Linked DNA regions of Macaca mulatta. The protein of the gene in region 3 binds, or shares a complex with, the protein of the main gene of each other region. Links are inferred from orthologs where the notes say so. Each region holds a gene or a part of one and is shown on either strand. Other genes may lie near its edges. The genes, in order: phosphatidylinositol N-acetylglucosaminyltransferase subunit P-like, PIGY and PIGC.

Evidence for each region.
Region 1: PIGC (region 3) and phosphatidylinositol N-acetylglucosaminyltransferase subunit P-like share a complex: the UniProt entries of both Homo sapiens proteins name them as parts of the glycosylphosphatidylinositol-N-acetylglucosaminyltransferase (GPI-GnT) complex. The link is inferred for Macaca mulatta from reciprocal best matches to the Homo sapiens genes PIGC and PIGP.
Region 2: PIGC (region 3) and PIGY share a complex: the UniProt entries of both Homo sapiens proteins name them as parts of the glycosylphosphatidylinositol-N-acetylglucosaminyltransferase (GPI-GnT) complex. The link is inferred for Macaca mulatta from reciprocal best matches to the Homo sapiens genes PIGC and PIGY.

Annotation. Positions count from the first base shown.
Region 1 is NC_133415.1:86,726,340-86,729,349, reverse strand, and holds the end of phosphatidylinositol N-acetylglucosaminyltransferase subunit P-like, read right to left. Parts: intron 1,285-3,010; coding exon 1,264-1,284; intron 1,028-1,263; coding exon 600-1,027; downstream 1-599. UniProt on the Homo sapiens protein: Part of the glycosylphosphatidylinositol-N-acetylglucosaminyltransferase (GPI-GnT) complex that catalyzes the transfer of N-acetylglucosamine from UDP-N-acetylglucosamine to phosphatidylinositol and participates in the first step of GPI biosynthesis.
Region 2 is NC_133410.1:97,843,155-97,846,826, forward strand, and holds PIGY (phosphatidylinositol N-acetylglucosaminyltransferase subunit Y), read right to left. Parts: upstream 2,895-3,672; 5' UTR 2,806-2,894; coding exon of another isoform or gene 2,603-2,805; intron 1,132-2,602; coding exon of another isoform or gene 990-1,131; 5' UTR 895-989; coding exon 679-894; 3' UTR 100-678; downstream 1-99. UniProt on the Homo sapiens protein: Part of the glycosylphosphatidylinositol-N-acetylglucosaminyltransferase (GPI-GnT) complex that catalyzes the transfer of N-acetylglucosamine from UDP-N-acetylglucosamine to phosphatidylinositol and participates in the first step of GPI biosynthesis.
Region 3 is NC_133406.1:29,931,392-29,934,657, forward strand, and holds PIGC (phosphatidylinositol N-acetylglucosaminyltransferase subunit C), read right to left. Parts: upstream 1,925-3,266; 5' UTR 1,709-1,924; coding exon 815-1,708; 3' UTR 622-814; downstream 1-621. UniProt on the Homo sapiens protein: Part of the glycosylphosphatidylinositol-N-acetylglucosaminyltransferase (GPI-GnT) complex that catalyzes the transfer of N-acetylglucosamine from UDP-N-acetylglucosamine to phosphatidylinositol and participates in the first step of GPI biosynthesis.

The DNA.
Region 1 (3,010 bases), on a different chromosome or scaffold from region 3:
TTAAAGACGGTGTGTCCAGAGTTTGTTCCTTCAGATGTTCAGATGTGTCCAGAGTTTCTTCCTTCTGGTGGGTTCCCAGTCTCACTGACTTTAGGAGTGAAGCCGCAGACCTTCACAGTAAGTGTCACAGCTCATAAAGGTGGCGCATCTGGAGTTGTTTCTTTCTTCCCGTGGGTTCCTGGTCTGGCTGACTTCAGGAATGAAGCCGCAGAGCACAGCCTCATGGTGAGTGTTACAGCTCATAAAGGCAGTGCAGACCCAAACAGTGAGCAGCAGCAAGATTTATTGTGAAGGGCGAAAGAACTAAGCTTCCACAGTGTGGGAATGGGACCCCAGCGGGTTGCCACTTCTGCCTTCGGTGGCCAGCTTTTACTCCCTTATTTGGCCCCGTCCACATCCTGCTGATTGGTCCATTTTACAGAGTGCTGATTGGTCTGTTTTTACAGAGTGCTGATTGGTGCATTTTCAAACCTTTAGCTAGACACAGAGTGCTGATTGGTGTGTTTACAATCCTTTAGCTAGACAGAAAATTCTCCAAGTCCCCCCCGGACCCAGAAGCCCAGCCAGCTTCACCTCTCATTAGCATGGCCACATACATTTCAGTTTTTGGTGTAAAGGTCTTTGGCTGCAAGAAATAACATTTGGTTTACTTCACTAGCAGAAATAACTCTTAATGCTGGAATGGCCACCTCTTGGTATTTCTTCTGCTGTTGATTTTTAGCATAGTTGTCTGTGATTGTATGAATGGAGTTGAGTGAAGGGGTACTCATCATGTTAATCCCAAACAAGAGCACATAGCCAATTACTACAGTAATAAGGAGGTAGAGAGATAATGCAACTGTCCAATGTTTTTGAGGCCAATAGGTTAAACCTAAGGAGTTTAGCCAAGATTCAGGAATAAAAGCCCACACAAGGTAAAGTATGAAGCCAAATTGGGAGCTTAAGAGAATCACAAAGTCATAAATCGCTCTTCCTGGCAGCAGTGAATTTTCCACCATTTTTCCTGGGGCTTTAGACAGTCTCAGCGCTGAGTTCCCTGCAAAAGCGCCGACCAGGAAGCCCCAGTGCGGGAGTGGGGTGGGGGAGGGGTGGGTGAGGGGAAGAAGAAAAATTGAGGGAAAGGCCTAGGCGCGAAGGCTCCTCCCACTCAGGCACAGGCGCACGATGACCCTCCCCCTGGGTGGGAGCCAGCCAGCGGCTCTTCCCTAGGTTTCTGATGGAGAAGCTGTTTCTCCTCATCCCTTAAAGTTTCGAGTGGATGACCTAGATAAATGAGCAATGAAACTATGACGACTAAGTTCAAAGGAGTGACATTTAGCATTGTGATCTTCTAAAATCTGTACAAGTTAGGCGATGCATTTAGTAAGTGATTATAAATATTTAATGTATACATATATAGCAAGTGACAAGCGTTTTATCATAAGCATTAGCATTCTTAGGGAGAGGTGGCAGTCGAGTGGACTGTGATGTTTGGCACAGGCACCCCTCCTCCCCCACTGAGGAATGAAGGATTTATTCCACCAGCTACTGGGAGAAGTGTTGGCAGATGATTCTTGGCTGTAAGCCCTCTTTGGGAATTTCCTTGGCTGCTGCCTTTTCAGGGCAGTCTGCATAAATGATTGATCAGCTTGGGAGCTTAGAGGCCTGGTCCCCTTACCTCTACTCAGGACAACTTGGAAGACCTATTCCAGTTTCAGAGGTCTCCATGAGGTCAGTGGAAGTCTTTGTTCTGACATTGCACTTCAATTTCTCCCTCTGCTCCATCCTGCTTCCTTCTCTGCTCTTCTTCTGCTGTTGATCCCAAGAGTGCTCCCTGAGTAACTTCCTGCATGTTAATCTCAATCTCAGAGTCTGCTTCCCAGAGAATCCAACCCACAGTCCTCCCATCCTCCTTGTTTCCAGGCCCCTTGGAATGTGACTTTGCAGCTTCTCCAATCAAGAGATGGAGTTTATTTTTTGACATCTTGAATCTAAGCTGGCCTGTGACTTGCTCTGGTCAATAGAATGAGGCAGAGGTGACATCGTGCCAGTTCTGAGCCTGAACCTCCAGAAGCCTTGCATGCTGCTTCTGTCGCTCTTGGAGTCCTGCTGCTACTGTGAGAACAGGCCCTGGCTAGCCTGCAGGAGCAGGAGAGACGAGTGGTCAAGTCACTGCTGTTGTCCCAACTGACAGTCAACCAATCCCTGAAGCAGAGTCACCTGGCTAACCACAGTGCCTGAATGAACCTAGCCAAGACCAGAAATAATACCTAGCTGAGCCCAGCCGAAACTGCTGACCCAGAGATTCATGAGCTAATAAGTAGTATTGTTTTAAGACAGTTAAGTTTTGGGGTGGGCTTGCTACGTTGCAATCCTTAACTGACACAGGAAGGAACTGTGTTTGAGGAACCACAAACTGGAGGCAGGAGCACCAGGCCCCTAGTAACAGAAGATGTGATTAAGAGCTTTCCATGAGAAAATGGGAGGAATTTATTTTTTGCCCCTGCGAAGAAGGTAGAGAGAACAGAATGGAGGTAGGAGCATTAAAAGTAGGTAAGGAGGAGAAGGTTGCCAGCCAGAAGGTAAACGACTGGGAATAATACGAGTTGAAGCAGCAGGTGGAATTGCTTGGTGGGTCTATGTCCATGTAGTGAGGGCGGCAGAGAGACTTGTTTGTATTTCTTAGATATAATCTCTTCTCTGTTTATTTGCATCTCATTTCAATCTCCTTACAAAAACAGGAACCAGGCCAGGCACGGTGGCTCACACCTGTAATCCCAGCACTTTGGGAGGCTGAGGAGAGCAGATTGCCTGAGCTCAGGAGCTCAAGACCAACCCGGGCAACATGGTGAAACCTCGTTTCTACTAAAAATACAAAAAATTAGCGGGGTCATGGTGGCACATGCCTGTAATCCCAGCTACTTGGGAGGTTGAGGCAATAAAGTGAGACTCTTGTCTCAAAAACAAACAAACAAACAAAACCCACACATTATTGCATAAAAAAGCAACTTGCAGAAAATGGAATATAATA
Region 2 (3,672 bases), on a different chromosome or scaffold from region 3:
CTCTCTAAACACAGCTATATTTAGTGCAGTTTTACAACTTCCCTTAGTATCAATAACACTTCTGTGACCAAACAAATAAACAAAACAAATGATTACAAACTGGTTTATTTTTTATGGGAAAGTGTCAACATCTTTATTGCTAATATAAGCATTTAATGTCAAAGAAATGAAGGTAATTTTACAAACTCAATTTTTGTAAGTACATGAAATTTCTATTTCATTATATGGTTTTGTATCACATTCGTTCAAATGCATTTCTCTCCCTTACAGGGACTATTCCAACATCACTCCTTTGGAATTATTTCAGTCATCCCTAACATGTGACTTTACCAAAGACCTTGAAGCTAAACAAACAAGCAAAACAAAATTTCAATGACTTTTAGATGAATGGAATAAGAAATAGTCATCACATGTCAATTAGGGATGTTTATCTCCAACAAGACACTGTCAAAATGTTTCTTCTGATACAGCAGTTATAAGTCAGAGCCTTCAAAAAACAAGGGCAGAACAAGAGCACAATAAAAGAAGCACCTGCAACTTAAGCTTCCCACAGTCCTAAGCCTGATATGCGCAAAGCAAAGCCTCTTTCCCACAAACTCAATTCCATCCATTTGAGCTTTCAGAGATAGATGCCCAAGAACTACCATTAATGTATACAGCATATTGACTCTAGTTGCATCAATTATGCCTGAAGAGTTTAATACCCATCCAAGTCCAAAGGTGGAAGAATACATACACTGGTATGGTAATAGGCAAGAGCAGGCTGTAAAAGCAAAGGCTGGCTGTGCTAGTGCAGCCCTGTGGGAAGTTTTCTTCCACAGAGGCTGAGTAGAACAGTCCTGTTAAAGAAACCAGTGGAATAAGAACAGTCAATGTAGGAAGAGACAGAAACATTCTTCTCTTCCACTTATTACCTGCCACTGTGTTTTAAAAGGTATATGGTACTAAGAAAAGTTGGCTGTTGCGTTTTATGTTTTTTTAATTATGAACTAGCGCTGCTCCACTTCTTCCTGCTTCTTACTTTGATGCGTCATCCTAGCTGCCTGTGGTATCATATTAGGAATCCCATCAATGATTGGATAAGCTATTCCCAACTCTTCATTAATCAATTCATTTGTTGATGCTTCATATCTGGGGTGGAAAAAAAAAAGAACAAAATGAGTTGTGGAAAAATAAAATAATTGAAGAGCCTGATTTTCAACAAATACCACCATTTATCCAATTCTTGGTATGGAGTTAATCCCAGAATAGTCTTCTTTAATTAAAAGCAACGATAGCCAATTCAACCTTTTATCTTAGAAAAATTCTCTTAGAATCTATAATTATTCCCATTTTAGTCAGTTTCTCTCATATTCTCTTTTTCACCTTATTCACAAGTTATTCCTTAATTTTTTTTTCATACTAGTCAGAAAAGATCCCCCTCTCTTATCCAAATATTCCTTCATTACTTTGGTCAACCCCCAAATCATCTCTGTTAATTTACTACTGGAATAAACACTAGAGAAAAATCAACTTCTTCGTTTTAGAATAAATGCTAAGTAGAAAAACTTAACTAATCCATTAGAAGGAAATCACTGGAAAAGGTGAGAGGGCAGAAATGAGGAAACTTTGGAAAGCAGTAAGTCTGCCGTGAGCTAGTTATAAACGCAAATCAAATAATTTCAAGGTTTGAGAAAACTGAATATGTTTATTATGGGAAAAAAGAAATATGAAAAATTGCTAGTAATCTACCACTCAAAGATAACCACTGACAACGTTTTGGTGTTTCGTTTATGCGATTTGTAATACTAGCGTTAGTGTTGTCAATATTCCATTTTTGGGAGCTTGGAAACTGTAGAGCTGTCTTCCCAAAAACTAGGTTAAAGAGGCTTCTAAGAAATCTGCTAGGCCACAACTAAGAGCCACCAGGCAGCATACACAGCTGAATTGCTTAAGATTGTCAGGCACCAGTTGTACAAGACACTTTCACAAGAATCTGGAGGGTAAAATACTTTTCATTATCTTGGCTTAAAAACCGGATGGCTTTGGACTTGTCCTGAATCGCAGTAATTCAAGAACCTGCTGGTACGTTAGAAATCATTTAGGGACCATTTAAGAACACAAATAAGCTGGGCGTGGGGGCGGCGCCTGTCTCCCGACTCCTGAGGAGGCTGAGGTGGGAGTTCTAGGCCAGTCTGGGCAACGTAGGGGGGCACCCTGTCTCTTAAAAGGAAAAAAAGAAAATACAAATGTTCAGGTCCCAACCCCCGAGCATTCCAAGTCTGCCCGTCTTGGGGGCTGCAGGGGAATCGGCATTTTTAAAACGGTCCCCGGGTGATTGCAAAGAGCAGCCGGTCGCGAAGCCTAAAACGCTTCGAGCCATTCCGGCAGGCTGGCTATGTGCTCTGGGAGATGTGGGACGCGGCTCCCCTGGCCTCCGGTCTCCCCCGTTCTGCCCGCCGCAGGGGGAGGTGCATGCACCGGCGGGGACAGAGTCCAGAATATGGCAGCGGAGAGTATTCACCGACCTACAAGTCCCCAGTGGCTGAGACAGGCCGCGGTCCACCACTCCCTTTCCGCCCACCGGGAGGCTGCGAAGGAAGGGCCAAGACCAGCGAGTCACCTGAGCGGCTTCTTGGAGAGCGGGCACACCAGGAACTCCAGCAGCGCCGGATCCAAGGCGCGGGGCGGCTCCTCCGTCTCGTTGCTCCGGTCGGCCAAAGGCCGCGAGCCCGACGCGTGCAGACACCTACAGGCGACCGCGGACCGCGCTGCGCTAGTTCCCCGCAGCGCTGAGGCGAGCCTGCCGCGTGCTCCGCTCAGCATGGTCTGGCAGCCGGAGACCAGGCCTCACTGCGCCTCCGCCAGCCGGGGCCGAGCTCCTCGCTCCGCGGTAGTACAAGCCAGCCGACCAGGCCCCGCCCCCTGGTGCTCTGGGAAACGCTGCCGGTGAGTAGGCGGGGCGGGCGCTTTGGTTCCGAGGGTGCTCCTGCTCCGACTGCTTTTCCCACGGACGTCATCTGCAGGCCGTAGGACAGCCCCAGGGCTGAGGCCTCTAGTGGGTGCCCCGCCGCCTTACCAGACTACAAACTAAATCAGTGTTTAAGTCGAGGTGTCTGGGCTTTCACCGGGGCCTGTGGCAGAGATGCTAGGAAGCCAGTGGCCAGATCTCAGAGTTGTAGGGAGTTAGGCTTGGACCTACGTGGTTACCTCCAAGTGAAGTTTCAAACACACTGTCATGTATTGTATTGAATGTATTGCCATGGATGTATTGAAAGCGTTCATTTGTTTCATGTACGTCTTTACTATACCATTAGTTTCTGTAATCTTGTTTGACTTCTTTCTGTCTCATTTAAAAAAGTGAGAACCTGGAAGGAATGGTCTAGGCCTCTGACCCTCCAAAATATATAAATTCTTCCTGCCTGAGACCCAGTCATTGTGAAGTATTTGCGTAATAAAGCACAACTAATTTACTTCTATCAATGAGCTTGGAGGCCGCAAAGGGCCTAAATAACTGTGTAACAGGCAGATGTCTGTTAGTCAAATGGGTGATCCATTCAGTGAATTTGTATCCCAGGTTTGCTTCCGACTCTCCGAGGAAGTGATGCATGTTAGATCTCTTTCTTACAGTGTAGTAGATGGGAACTTGGGCTCTGGGGCCTGACAGCTTGGTTTCCTGTCCACAGTTTAGTA
Region 3 (3,266 bases):
GGTGTCTCCATTGGACATCTCCATTTGTTCACAGTTGCCATCAGTCACACAAAGCATGCCAGTTTCACTTGCTTCCGTTACTGACCTGGCCTCTAAAGGCCTTCAACACATTGCCCTAAAACCATCTTTTGCCTACTTAAGTCTCCCTATCCTCCAAGACTAAGCTCAAATGTCACTGCCTCTCATAAGTATTTCCTAATTATTCCAGCTGAAATTTATCTCCAGCTTCTGAATTCCCCCTAGCATTCTGCTTATTATGACACATCACACTCTGCTTTGTAATTAGTTGTGTATATGCTTCCGTAACAACAAGGTAGAAACTGAGTCAAGGTTAGGTAACCAATTCTGTGATATTGGGCAACAAAACTGAACACAGCACCTTGTGTTCTAGGATTTGAGCCCTAGATAAATAAAACAGCATTAGCACATTGAAAAGGGTAGAGAGAAGTGACTTTACACACACACACACACACACACGCACACACTCTTCACTCTTCATGCCCCTCTGCCTACTGTTTATGTAAAAATCATGAGACAACTTGATGAATGTGTTATTTTTTTAATAGAAACCACATCACTTCATATGTTACAGCATGTAATTCAAGAGGGTCCCAGAAAGTATTTTCATCCACAAAATAACGGAAAGGATAAGAACCCGCACCACCCAAGCCTTTGGTTCATCTTTTTTGTTTTGATCTCTGTTCTCTTACCACAATGACATGCTGCTTCCAGAATGGAACTCTGTCTTTAAGTTCTATACTAGTTAGGAGGCTAGTCTATCAGCTTGCCTTAATAACGTAATGGATGTCCTAATTTAACTGAGGAACCTGGACAAGTCTTCCTTGATTTCAGCTTCATCCCAAGGCCCATGAATGTTTTCTTTAAAAAGCTGCAAGCGAATGAGGTAGAATGGACAGAGACATGAGATAGACATCAGCAGAAGGGCAAAGAGTATGGCTCCCACAGCACTGATGGACAGTAGGCCTCCTAAGGCTGAAAATGCAAAGAGCAGTGTGACCCCCACATAGCTCCGGGGAGTACATGCCTTTAGTTTCTTCTGTAACATGGGCCATAGGGCAAAAATCTGAATGGCAAACGTCACCATGATGAAGGCATGCAGGGACCGGGGAAGACGTGAAGCCAAGCATACAGAAGCAAAGATGGCCATGTTCAAGGATAGCGTGCTGGACACAATGGCAGCATTGGCACCATAGTCAAAAAAGATGAGGTGGCCTAACAGCATGAAGACTGACATGGCATAGATGGTGTCAGTGCTGACAGACTCTGTAAGGGTTTTCAGCACTGGTGAAAACCCATAAGTGAAAGTAATGAAGACTAGGGCACTCTTCAGGTCAGCCCATCGGGTCTGCCCACTCTTCTTCCGCCCTTCACCTCCATCAATGAGATCAAACAAAACATACCCAATCAGTGAAGAAGCCAGGCCAGTCCCAAAAAGCCAATGGGGGGCCAGAAGACCCTCATCCATATACCACCAGATAACCACAAAAACACAAACACTGCACAGCTGCTGGATCACTACACTGGACTCAAATACCACAGCCCAATATTGGTATTTCCGAGCATGGATGTTTTTCCGGAGCTCTTCCAGGAATCGCCGGTCCACATAGTTATCAGGAAAGGGCTGTCGCTCATACAAGACCTTCTGCCACTTGACCTCCTTGGTGCTAGTTACAGGTTGGGCACACATTATCCTTTCATTCAAACTCAGGCCAGTTTAATCATCGCCCTCACAGAAGTCCAGGTGGTTCTTGTTCTTTATGAAGTTTTGAAATGAGACCTCCCTGGAAATTCCATGCTGTGGTTGATGTTCTATCAACCTTTCCTTGTTTTCAAAGGCAGCAACCCAGGCTAGGCCTACAACAGATGAATTTGTCTCTGAGGCAGGACAACACAGCCAAGTTCCTAGAAAAAGAGAGACTGTGAACCTACAAAAGTTGTGAAAGGTCAAGAGTAGTACTGAGTTAAAGTCAAATCAACTCAGTTTACTAAAAGTCTGAGCAAAATGTATGTGGTAGTCACCTTATTAATTTGGGACATTAAAACTGCATTTCAGACTTGAAAATTATAATTCCTTGAATAATAAAAGACATCTGTTAGCTATCATTTATTGAGTGCCTACTATGTGCTAAATGCCTTATGTATCTTCTTTCACTTAATCCTCACAACCTTGCAAGTTAGTATTAGTCCTGCTTTGGTAAAAAAGCTGAGATTCAAGATGCTTAAGTAACTTTGCCCTAAAGTAACAGAGCAGAGCCAGGATTCAAACCAAAGTCTTATCCCAAAGCCTGTGTCTGACATTGTATCTCCCTCTAAACCAGTTCTTAACTCAATGGTTCACATACCCCTTCGGTGTATCACATTGCATGTTTATATCCGGATTTGTGTGAATTTATACGGATAATATCCATAGCTTTTATTGGTTCTCAAAGGCATGTTATATTTTTTAAATTACCAATCCAAAGACAATAGTAAGCTGCACCATACAGAAAGGTATGAGCTCTACAGTTTGTTTAGCCAAAATCAAAGACTCAAAGAAACTAGACTCTTCTTCCATTAGCTGAGCTTAGCATCCTTTAAAGAGCTATCAGTCTACTCAAAACAAGGAAACTCTTGTGAGGATCCAGAAAGGTAATCATCCCTTTTTCACAATGAGAAAACTAAGAGTCAGAAACACCACAGGCATCCGGCAAATTTGAGGAAAAAAAATTTCATATTGCCCGACTTTATTTCTTCCATGAAGACCACGACAAGTGTTGCTTGGCAGGCCAGACACCGTTACCCCGCTCTCTGCAGCGGGGATCCCAGCCCGGGAATCTTAAGGCCGCCGCCGAGGCTGGAGGGTTCGCGACGCCCAAAAGGGCAGCGCCCGCCCGCAGAGTGGGGCTGGGAGGGGACAGGGTAGGGTAGGGTAGGGTAGGGTGACCCCAGGGGTGCGCCTTCACTCTCCGGGCCTCCCACTCCAGCCGCCACCCCTCACTCAGCCTTGAGCCTGCGAGAGACAGCAGAGGAGAAGGAGCCCCGGAAACACTGACAGTTACACGGAACCCACCTGCCCGAGAGTTCCTAGGGATGCGCAGCTGGGGGACGGCGGCACCCAGCCTTTTTCCCGCTCCGGGGCGCAGGGGCTGCGACTGTGGCGGAGCACTTCCGGGTCTGCCGCAATCTCCTCAGCGAGAGCACCCTTCCCCAGCCGGAACCATCGCGACGTGGCTGCTGCCCCCTCCTGGCTGCTCAGAGGACCTCCG